2 linked regions of the Caenorhabditis elegans genome follow. The protein of the gene in region 1 purifies or fractionates together with the protein of each later gene. This does not show direct contact. Each region holds a gene or a part of one and is shown on either strand. Other genes may lie near its edges.

The links. The genes of interacting proteins can lie anywhere in the genome.
Region 2: the proteins of jmjd-5 (region 1) and F15B9.8 fractionate together in Caenorhabditis elegans (co-fractionation; one large-scale study listed by BioGRID). This does not show direct contact.

The regions. Positions count from the first base shown.
Region 1 is NC_003283.11:11,125,090-11,130,969, reverse strand, and holds jmjd-5 (JmjC domain-containing protein 5), read right to left. Parts: upstream 3,474-5,880; coding exon 3,323-3,473; intron 3,276-3,322; coding exon 3,196-3,275; intron 3,119-3,195; coding exon 2,988-3,118; intron 2,941-2,987; coding exon 2,836-2,940; intron 2,791-2,835; coding exon 2,700-2,790; coding exon of another isoform or gene 2,685-2,699; exon of another isoform or gene 2,606-2,684; intron 2,580-2,605; coding exon 2,289-2,579; intron 2,238-2,288; coding exon 1,797-2,237; intron 1,753-1,796; coding exon 1,471-1,752; intron 1,102-1,470; coding exon 937-1,101; 3' UTR 889-936; downstream 1-888. Other genes in the region: strt-7 (Phosphatidylcholine transfer protein), read right to left, coding at 4,090-4,182, 4,229-4,606, 4,656-5,163, 5,569-5,621, 5,668-5,706.
Region 2 is NC_003283.11:12,986,065-12,992,684, reverse strand, and holds F15B9.8 (Beta/gamma crystallin 'Greek key' domain-containing protein), read right to left. Parts: upstream 4,130-6,620; 5' UTR 4,125-4,129; coding exon 4,047-4,124; intron 3,997-4,046; coding exon 3,912-3,996; intron 2,509-3,911; coding exon 2,392-2,508; intron 1,104-2,391; coding exon 973-1,103; intron 737-972; coding exon 641-736; 3' UTR 501-640; downstream 1-500.

The sequences.
Region 1 (5,880 bases):
GGGAGAGGATTAACTACTAACTAGAATAATCTCACATGTATCACATTTAAAACATAGTATTCCTTCTCATTCATTTTTTAGGACGATCAAAATCTTTTTGCAGCACATTAGTTATTCGATTAGGATTTCTATTTCCAATTTTCAATCAAAGATCCTTCCAATCCACGAAGACGAGTTTAGCAAACATGTGAAAAAAAGAAGAGGCGTTTGAGAATATTCTTGGACAGAAAACGGAACGAATTTCTAATTATTCAAGTTTCTCATCAAACTTTTGAACACAAAAATGCAACTTTCAAGTTTGCTCGTGAACTTGCAATATGAAGTTATAGAGTACTGTAGTTGTTTTATATAGATTTAAACAATTTAAATGTCAATTTTTGTTTTCTTTTTCTGATAAGAACATCTATCAGTAGATAAAATTTTCCTCTTTGGGTCACTTGGGGACTACAACTTGTAAGCGCAACAGCGTAGAGTGACTGGTGGAGATGAAACTATGGTGCGCAATCGAGGTTAGATCTAACTAGGAAAGTGTGTGTGCTCAAGAAAAAATAAGGAAAAAAAACACATATTTAACAGAAACAAAATTTATTGTATAAAAATTTTTGCCAAACCAATTTTTGAACAACTCCGCTCGGCGGTGCCTTCCGGGTGAGTATTGAAAAGAAAACAATGAGTGGTGAAGCTGCATTCCAAATAATAAATAAGAACTGAAATGACTAGACGAATTGAGGTGAAATATGAACACGCATGAGAACAAATATATGTCAGTTCCTCAATAATACCTAGCCTATACGTTTTATTTTCTGGTTTTATGCTTTTAAATACGATATATCTATTAATTATTGCCTATCTGTTTGTATAATAAAAGAATAGTATTAAACAAATTAAAGACCAAATAGTTTATTTTTGTAAACTTTGTCGTCTGGAAACATATGGCTAATCAAACCAAAATGATATTGAAATAGATGGAGACGTTGAGCGTACGAAATGCCACCATTTTTCAGGAATAAATATAGCATCTCCAGGATTTATGACGGCGTCGAGGACTTCCACTTGTTCAAAGTTTGGGAATATTTTGAGATCGGGATTCTCGACATCGACCTGGAATTCGATTTAATATTACTGGAACACATAATTCTGAGAATGCGTATTGCGCAACATACTTGACGCGCAAAATATCTCGTAGCGAAAACTACAGTAATTATTTAAATGAATACTGTAGCGCTTGTGTCGATTTACGTACTTGAAATCAATTTAAATCATTTATTTCTTGATAGAATAAAATTAGGCATAACATAAAACAAAGAAACAAAGGAAAATGGAACAAGAAATTTATTGAAAAAATTGAGCCCGTAAATCGACAGAAGCGCTACAGTAATCATTTAAAGAGTTACTGTAGTTTTGTTGTCAAATATATTGCGCAATACGCATTCTCAGAATTTCGTGTTCCCATAATAGAAGTATCCTTACTTGACTGGTATTTGAAAGTATTCCATCAAATGGATACACTGATTCTGAACTTTCAGGAGCCACCATCCGAAATAGTTTTGTACCATGAACTTGTACAAACATATTCTTTCTAGGATCTGTATGGAGTGGAGATACAGTATCCTGTGGCCCAATCCACATATTCATGTCAACATTTTCAGGATTACTTGATTCCCCGAAGCAAACATCTGGAATTATGACGTCACGTTTCAAGTGTGGAACCTGATCGAAAAGGCGATGTTGTGCAAGATAGAGCCGTTCATTCTGAAATGTACAGATAATTTTAATATGATTTTTGAATATCTAACTTCAGAGTTTCTAATAAATTCCTTGAACGTCATCAACTTTTGTGACCAATTTTCATCTGAATATTTGGTTCCAATTTCCACAGGAAATGTTCGACTGTGAAGTTCTTGAAGTAAAAATGGAAATGACCATTTTTCGATGGCAGGCATATTGGAAGAATGTCTCCGAACAATCAGTGGTGTATTATTTTGAACGGCAGAAATTAATTTTTCAAAACTATTTTCATCATCTTCATCACATTCATCGATAGATTTGGAATTTGAAAGTGGAATTAAGGCAGGATATGTATTAGTTGTATTGAACTGAAAACTCGAATGAATCCAATCATCAGATGACACACCAGGTAAATTTTCATGAATTAACCATGCTAGTTGTCGAATTGGAACAAGATCTTCGTCTATTCTACCCATACACAGCCCTTTATCGGCAATTTTGATCGCAATCTGGAAATTTAAATGTGAGATGGTAAATTCAAGAAGTATTAATTTACAAACCTCATACTTGTTCTGTTTAAACATCATGAAACTCTGACAGAAACATATCAAAGAATACAATTTTCTCCAATTCTCATCAACTTCATTGAAATGTCCTGTGTTCAGTTTTGTATCTGCCAATTTTAGTAGAAACTCAGACTGGTCGACTATTTCTTTTGAGAATTCTGTGTTTCCATTTAAAAAGTGATCGACATTCGTACTAAAACGTGAGAATAAATTTCTGATTAGTTTTGAAACGACTTGGTCATCGAGATGAATTTGCAAAATTCCGAAGTTCCATGTATCTAGATCCTGAAAAGAAATAAAAGTTTCAGAAGAGTGGAATGTTTATTTTGACAAATTAAAAATCACATTTTTCAAATAATCTCTATGAACACGTATTTTAGAAATAAAACATTAATAGTTATTGACCTCTAATCTCTGCTTGAACGCTTCAATTTTTGGTAGCATTGCTGGACTACGAGCGTCGTAATCTTCATAGGATGGATCAGCCTTTTCCGATCTGAAAGATAATTCTGAACAGCTTTAATCTTACAAAAAAAATTACTGGTTCTTGAGGAAAGTATCAATTGAAATCGGAGTTCCCCAGAAGATTGTTTGATGTGGAATAAATGTTCCATCTTCTATCCATACTTTTGAGAGTACCGTGAATCTGAACAAAACATACTAAAGTTCAGAAAAATCATCTGGTATAATTACCCTAAATTAACATATGCTTGCAGAGCTGATACTTGAGCATAGGCATAAACTGGAGAATTCGGACTTTCACTTTGTGCATAGATCAACGCCTCTCGGATGAGATCGGACGCGATTCGTCGTCTTCGGAATTCCTACAAAATAAATTGTAATAAAATCGATTTAAAAAAAAATAGATAAATCGATTTGAAATTTATAATAGATTTATTACTTTCAGAACAGCAACTCTTTCCAGTTTGAGCAAATCTTTTTCGATATTTCGAAGGCGAACACATCCGACAGCGAGATCTCCTAGGAAAAATAACATTAAATTGATTAATTTCCTATATAATTATTACCTTTGAACGCTACAAAGTAAATAGAACTCTGTTCTTCATTCTCATCCCATTCCATGCTCTCCGGACAGTTTTGCTCTTCGATAAATACTTTTCGACGAATGTTGAAAACTCCGTCGCGACACTCGTCAATTTTTAATCGTTTATATTCCATCTAAACTAATCAATTTAAATAAGTATTTTTATATGAATTTTGTAATAAGAATTAAAAAATATTATCGATAATATTATCTACGAAAAAAAGTTTCAGTTTTCGTATGGCAAACCAAAAAACCAAAGACCATTAAATAGTATTTTGTGGTTGAAACCAATTTGTAAAAAAGATCAGAATAACACCCATATATATTTTTTAATAATAATTCATAATCAAAACAACGGAAATTATTCCAAACCAAACAAAAAATCATGGACAACGGATTGTAATACGAGGAGGAAAAGAGACAAAAAAAATTTTCTTTTACAAAAACTCGACAAAACTCTATCATCTACAAAAAGGAATCAGGAAATAGGTTACATAAAAACTAAGTGAATTACGCCATTTTGGATTTGTTTCTTTTGTAACATACTTTCTGATTTTAAAGATTTTTCTTGTCCTTTTGGAAACAGACATATCACAAAATTAAACTAAACAAAAATACGATGATGGCTTATTCAGTAGAAAATGCACTAAACGTCTATTGAGCTTTCGACAAGCGATATATGGTCTTTCAACATGAAAGAAATAAAATATGGTATTTCTGTAGATTTGTTTATAAAGACGAGCACAGAAATCAGGCAGTTCTCTGATAATTGACTTGTTCTGATTGCAATACGAAGGAGGTTGAAGCAGTTGTGGAACGAGCTTTTTGTGGTTTTTCAAGTTTCTGGAAAATAATTGTATGTTCGTAAATAATTAGATATTAAATTCACTTTTTCTCCTTCATTTTCTTGATTATTGAGTTTCGTTTCTTCTTCATTCCGTTTCTTTTCCTTTTCTTCATTTTCTTTGGTTTGACGCTGCAGAACACGATCGTTTTTTCTCAAAAGCGCTTTCTCAGTGGCAGATCGTACTTCTCGTCCGCTACTCTCAATTTCACGAGCAGCCTTGTGAACTTGTCTCAAAAAATAAGGACCACCTTTGTTAACCATCCAATTATACACGTAACGAGGAATGTTAGCCTCTGGATTGTCACAATATGTTAAAATGTAATCAACTCCATGCGATTCCCAATTTGAATGAGCTCGAATTGACATTCTCGAAGTGTAGGATCGTACTCGGACATTTGACTCCGAAATTGATGGAAACACCTATTTTTACAATTTTATTCAAGATTTTTCGTAAGTTACAAATACTTACCTCAGGTTGAACTGATTCGCTATCTAAAACTGCATATTTTTCGTCTTCTGACACCCATGTTCGTCTTACATAAACATATTCTCTCGGATACATTGGATATGGAAACTTAGATACCCATCTGATCAGCTCATTTTCATTTTCTTCTTTGACAACTTCGATAGTCACAATATTGTCGTCCCATTCTTTTCGATATTTTAAATCATTTTGAGCGTCAAGAAATGTTCGTGGACTGATATCATAGTATGTCCCAACACATTTGTATTCATACATCTCATATGGACCATCAATTCGTCTACGGAATGCTAACATATCCTTCTCTTCGTAGAGCAACTCCCATCCTTTTCCAGGTGTCTTTCGATGAGCAAACTCCTCTTCACAGTTTTCACATTCTGCGATTCGATCATCACTGATTCCATGATCTCGAAATGTGAATCCGGCTGTAGATGCAGCTAGAGCAAACTTGCCGAAACGTCGGTCTCCACGGTAGAATGAGTAGGAGTACAGAACGCTAAAAAACAATAATTTGAATAGGACTGCCCTTTTTTATTTTTTGGCAAAAAATGGTTTTTATTTTGGTTGTTTTAAAAAATTTTAATTTTTTAGACATGTTTGAAGCGAAAAAAAAAGTTTTATTTTTGGTTTTTATTTTTTTTATTGAAAAAATTGAATTTTCGAATTTTGGACTAAAATCTACGCTTTTTTTTCATATTTTACAAATCTTCTTAAGCAAAATATGTTTTAATGGTTTTCAATGATTTTTTCTAAAAGTTCAAAATAAATCGAAAATCGACTTTTTTTGGGTTTTATGGTCACAAATTCCAATTTGTAGTTCTTGGTCCAAAATCAAAATCTGTTTTTTTGTTTTTTGGTAAGACTTTTTTGGTCCTACTTCACTCCATAATAGTTGACTTACGCTTTCGTCTTGAATCGTGACCAATTTTGACGGAAGTTTCGATACAGTGCAACCTAAACGTATTATAATTGAACACACTTCAATCAAAATATTGTTTACCTGTTTAAACAAAAAACTGCTCCAATTTCTGTTCAGCATATCTTTGTTTGATAAGACTTACTTTATTGCATTCGAGTAAATCTAAAAGAAATGATTGAAAAATGATTTTGATCAGTACGGTCAGTGAAAAAAAAACGATCAGAGTGATTGATCTATGCTATAGTCAGTTCACGTTAGAGATGTATAAAATAGATAGTTTTTGGCAGAAACCAA
Region 2 (6,620 bases), 1.9 Mb from region 1:
TGAAATTTGAAAATAAATGTTTTGAAAAATTTGAACTTCGTTCAAACAATTATGATCTTTCTAAAATTAAATGTAGGAGTTTCATTTATTTGAGTCAAATTTTGAAATTTCACTTTAAATTTAACGTGGAGTAGTGGGGAGAAATTATTCTAAAAATTTGCTTAATGTTGCATTGTTTTTAATATTAAAACTGCTCGAACATTTTTGAATTTTTAAAAATAGTTGAAGCATGTTCTAATATTGTACCTAAGCATTTTAGGGGTTCAAACATGACAAATGCCTTAATTTTCTCTGTTTTTACTATTTTGATAGTGAGTATATTTCAACAAAACTTATAAATTTTCAATAACAATTTGTGAATTCAAATTAATAATAAAATTCTCATAATTGTCATTATTGTGTTATTCCCATTAATGAGCATTTGAAAAATTAATACCGATTCAATTTTTCCTGTAGGTCCCATTTGAGACCTCTCTTGCAGTGTCAAAAAAAAAAACAATAAATAAATAAATTATTATTAGATTGAATTGGAAAACGAAAATAACAATTAGTGCATACAATTCGAGAACTGACTGTGAGAAAATGAATGAATTATTAAATAAGAGGTCTCTGTGCTCCTCTCTTCGGAAATTGTTCGGATTTAGGCAAAATCTCCGCTAATCTCACGTTCGATGGACCATGGGTCGGCGGCAACTGGAATATGACCTTCTCCGGCGTCAACGTAGCATTTCTCAATCTGTAAAAACATTAATTGAAATCAATTTCTTCCGTGTTGAAAATAATTCAGATTTTAAATTATTGCAAAAAAAATTTATTACAAAAAACCAACAAAAAAATGAAGCTTCTCATCAAAAATTGCTCTTCAGATTGTATAAACTCGGAGAAATATGATCCGCGGAAAACTTTTTTGGTTAACCACCTAATTTCAATGAACTTATCACTGAATAATTTTATATAAAAGGAAAATCTCACCTCAATAGCATCTCCGTGGCATACAACACGAAGAGCTGGTTTTCTGGAAACACATGTACGAACTCTTGATCTCTCTCCATTTTGGCACATTGACCATGAAGTCCACTCAGTCCATTCTCCGAACGCCAATCCTGAAAAGTGATTATTTTAAGAGAAAAAGAGATAAGAACAGATTAATGTTCTAATGTGATAGACTCTCTCAAATCTCTCAAGGGAATCAACAACAAAATATTGAAACTTGCAAATCGAATCGAATTAGACACGATGCTACTAGTGGATACATCTTTCATGTTTAGCTCTTTTTATATCTCATATTATATGCGTCTTTCAGTTCTGTCATAAATATTTTATAAAGTGTTTGTATTCTTCTTGATAGTAAATTCCAAGAAATTATACTAAATCATAAGAAATATGATTCTGATAAATACGAATCCCGTTTTCGGAAAATTGTTAACTACAATTTTCAATATAGAGAAGCCAAAGAGCTGTTCGTTGATTCCATTTCAAATCGTGATTTTTTCTTAAAGTTAAATTAAGTCTCTTTTTTTGGGATAAAAACTTCAAAATACCCAAAGTAGGTTTCAAAATATTATTTCATTTTTAAATTTGTCTGTAATTCTCGGCTAAATTCAATAAAATTCGCCTAATTTTGATAAACTTTAAACAGAAAATAAGGTTTTGGTTTTTTTTTTTTATTTTTATTAGTATAAGCTTTAATTATTTTTCTTATTTTTCAGTTAGTTTCCACTCAAATTTTTTTAAAATAGTTGCAAAAAAACTTCAACATATTTCCAATCTGATTTTGCTGATTTATAATACAAACTTACAAAAAAATCCATCTTCAAAAAGTCTCAAAATTTCAAAATTGATTCGGTTGAATCCTTAAATTTTAAAGTTCAAGATTACTAATTAACAACAATCTTCTGTGAGGACACACCCTGCAGATTCTTTCCCGATTTTTTTTGACTTGTAGTCTTCTCCAAGTTCTTAAACTAAAAATTGGATTATTTTTTTTAATGTCAAAAATAACAACTAATCCTTTAAATAACTAATAGAAGATCATTTAATAGATAATTCCGAGTAGTCGTCAAATTTCAATCAAAAATTCAGAATGTTGCCCCTGCGCCCCTAGTTTGTCTCATAATATTTTAAAATATTCGTCCTTTTCTCTATTATTTTTCCAAAGCCGCCTACTTCTTCTCCATTCCTTCTTTCTTTGTTTAGACGCCCTGCTCCAAAGCTTTCTTTAACCGATAGAGTAATTTTGTTAAAACGTGTCTATTTCTACGACTTTCGCGCTTATTCTCACGGAGCCATGTCCGAGCAGCTCACACAGCTATGTGATAATTCTTGATTTTTGTTGTTTTCTATTCTCCGATATGGTCACACGTGTTAGAGAAATGTCAATTAGTGGCTTACTTTCTGGAATTCTTCCCGAACTCCCGGAAAGCATTTGTGTTGGCAAGTCAATTGAAATTGAAGCTTCGTTTTGCCTCACACCAGCTGCTTTGGCACGCACTTCAGCAATTTGATCGTCTGAAAATTTCACACTATTTTATAAAATCAATTTACTATTTATTTTTTCATTATTAAAGATTTTAAAACATTTTTCTATGGCTGTAAAAATATTGACAAACATTTGACAATAATACGTCAGTGCTTTCTCAAATTATTTTCTGCTCTAAAGACTCTAGAGAAATCTGTGAATTTTAAAGAATTGTTCAGCACTGAAATTTTAAAGATGGAGAAGTGTGGCACCACCATAATCAACTATCATAATAATAAAAAATTCAAAAAACTTTAAAAAATTGGGAAGATCTCAATTTTTGCCATTTGTTTTTTGAATTTCGTCAATCAAAAATTTTCCTTCGAATTCTACATACAGTCTACTTATGTTTGAAATATTAATATCCAAGCAATGAAGGGATTCAAAATTTTGATAATGCTTAAACTTTATCAAAAAGTAGCGAAAACTCACTAATTACCACTTTTTGACTGTCAATAAAAATGTTTAAAAAAATTTTTTGGAAAGTTTTCATATGATATATGGAAGTTTTGCTATAATGGTCGTTTTAGCATCATAGCAGTTGTTTTTAACAATATATCTACCTTTAAGAATATTTTTTCGTTCAGAACAGTTCATTTTTCAGGAACTTGGAAATATTAGAAAACTAGATATGTCGCAAATAATATGCCTTTATAAAAATTAAGATAAACACCAAAATGTTCATTTTTAACCAAATCAAACATTTTGACCGTTTACATATTATCAAATAATTACAGTCTCGAAGATTTCAAAAAGTGTTCGGCATCTTAAATAAACGATTCAACAAAATGGGTTATTTGTGTTTCTTTCTCCGAAAACTAAATCCCATGCCAATATTTTTAACAAGTAAAAGCTGACAAACAATTGTATGAGACTGAATTTTTTGAACAATATTTGTTCACAATTAGCCAGCGTGTCCCTTAGCTTCAGGTAGGTGTCGAGTTACTTTCAAATGATTTGAGAACTAGTAGCTTTCCCTCCGCGCCAATTTCATATCATATTCCCCTTGTAAGTAAGTTAGTTTCCTAATCTTTTATTTTCCGGTGTTTTTGTGTTTTTTTACATTCTCCTAGTTTTTCTAAAATAAAATTAGCCGCTAACGAATGTTACTAAACAACATGAATGAATACCTTAAATTTTGTGATAAACCTATCCTGAAAAACAGAAACAAATTTTGTGCCTACATAAAGCTCGCTAGGTATTCTAGAGACATTCTCCTAAAAATTGAAAGTAAAAATGTTTGCCTACAGTGTCAGCATACGGTAAAGTGATTAATTATCACAGCCGGCAGACTAAATTTTTCATTAGTGCCATGCTTTCAATAATCTATTTTCAAAAATAATTGTAAAACAATTTATATCTATTGATTCCACCAGGCAAACATTTCACTTACTTGTAACTGCAGAAGCTGGCTGAAGAGGGTGGAAACTTTCTACGAGATCAAATCGTGCTCGATCGTAAGCTCCCAAATTCACTGCCTATAATTAATTCTCTATTTATTTTTCAACCACTAAAACAAAAAACTTACGTCTTGATCATCTATATTAACAGCAACTGGAATCGCTGAAATAAGGGGTAAGAGAGCGAGCAAGATGCACCGGTTCATGTCTTCTGAAATTGGGTAGGAATCAGAAAATATAAATAAGCAAAAAATAAGTATGTGAGAAAATAGTAAAAAGAATACAAATTTATAGGGAAAATCGAAATGACGTGTGAATGGCATAAACATGCCAATAAATCAAACCACTTTCACATTTATTCATTAGTATCTTAAATCTGGTCAGTAAGGCGTGACTAATAGTTCTAGATTCTAGACAATTTCTCTAAATAATCACCACTTATGGAACGGGTACATGTAGAATATATTGTTGCGTAATACAAATGTGTACGTTCATATCCAATTCCATGAACGGACAAGTGATAAGAAAAAGTAAAAAGAAAACGACAAAAGTTATAATCACGGATAAATTTGATGAAAGGTACGCATCTAATCTCATGTATTTGTACATTTGTGGATAGTCGACAAAAAGATGGGGGAAAGGGGCCGAAATAGTCATCCGGAGGGCGGAGGCACTCGCAATGAGGAGACTGGTGTCGATAACGATAAAATGGGTTGAGGGAAAAGCGAGAAAAAAATCGAGTTTTTGCAATGTTGTCCGCTTGTTTGATGCATCATCAACCTTCGCGATTTACATGGCTAACTGGATTTTTTCGGCATTTTTCCACATTTTTCCGTCTAATGATTGGATATTGAGAATGTGCGAGGGTTTTTCATTGTGATGTGATCCTTTGAATAAAAAATCGAGAGTGGATTTACCTAGGCGGAAACGATACGATATCAGCAAGAGTTTTAAGATATTCTGGGTCAGACTTGAGAAGCACGTGATAGAATTTTGACCTTTTGAAGCAAATAGAAGCCTAAAATCATATTGACAATTCTAACGAGTATTTTTTTGTAACTAATATGGTACAGAGTTCTAGGGTTTAATTTGTTCACACACGTCATTTGGGAGCTACAATCAGAAAAAGGGTGTAGGCTCAAATTTAATGAACAAAATTCATGTCTGTACGAAAAGATTTTCCCTGTGATTGATTTGAGTTGAGATAATTTGCACCTACAAATGGTGTACGGGACCTAGCTTTTTACTAATATAAGTTTCAAAAAAGCTTTTCAAGTGTAATGAGCACGGATTGCAATTTTCGTCCATGTCCACTGTTTAATCTTGTAATTTTGAAACTCCAACTTTTGTATATTAAATTAAAAATGAGTATCAATGTTTATTTAAACAATAGACCTTTAACTATGTAGACCATTTCTTAGAAAAACCGACAAAATGATGGCTGTTATTTTGAAATTTGAATAACTAAAATCAAAATTTCAAGACCTCGATGCAATCTTCGTCTATTATAATTATTCCTCCTCCCATATTCAATGTATTTTATATCTTTTTCCATATGTGTTCCTTTCTTCGTTATCATTGCCCTCATAATATTCAAATTCTCAGGTATAGCCATCTCCCCAACACACAACTAAACAAAATGATAATTGGCGACAAGATCAATCGGGATGAGGTGAACAACAGGTACGGTCTGAATAGAAATTAAGTTGTTGATTATTGGCGGGTGGAAAGAGGAAGGGAATCCTTGAAGAGATAGGAATGCATGCCACGGATGCCGTGATCCGTCGGCGGTGGCCCATCGATGAAAAAGTGCATTACACTGGCAAATGAAGAAATAGAGGTGATAAAGAAACAAGAGGGTTGCTGATGATGATAACCGGGTCGAAGATGTTGCCTTTTTCACCCTCTATTACACTTCATTGCTGAAACTGGATAATGACGATTAGTTGAATAAGGAACACGTCTGGATGTGTTCGATTTGAACATAAGACAGTTAAGAAATCAGTTTTGAGAAGAAAACATCAACGAACATAAAATTCATAAAATTCGAAAGATCATTCCTCATTGAAGTTTTCAATTTTTTGTGATTTTAGACTGACTTTTTCTTTAAAAAAATGCTTTACGCATTCCTATTGGTAAAAAAATCAAAAAAGTACAACATAGGTATAAACAATTGTTTCGTTATCTGAAAATATAGTTTGTTTCATTTGAAACAACTGAAGAAGTGCTCAAAATTGTGTAAAAGCTGAAAATTGCAGGAAAAAACCTACTTACTTAGTTTTTTGAGTTCTTTTTCAGTTGTTCCAAATCAAACAAACGTTATTTTCAGATGGTGAAAACATTTTTTCTTTCTTTTAAAACTACTAATTTTAATTAAAGAGAGAGCATCACTAGCTGATTTTGTAGAATTGCCGGTCGGCAGTTGATAAGCAGTCCGGCTTGGTCAAAGTTTTAAAAAGCTCTCGTGGTCGGGGATAATTATGTTTTTGAGTAATGTAATCAATAAAGAATAAATTATTAAAATTTTAATTGGAAAATCTATTATCAGAATGTAAAATATAGTAACTATTTCTAGTTTTGGGAAGCTTACTCGTGTGGAATATTTTCTGTCAATTTCATCGATGAGATGATACCAATCTTTCAGTTTTTGACTCCCATTCGTTTAATGAAACGGCGGAAAACGTAATGCATCTCTGAAATCT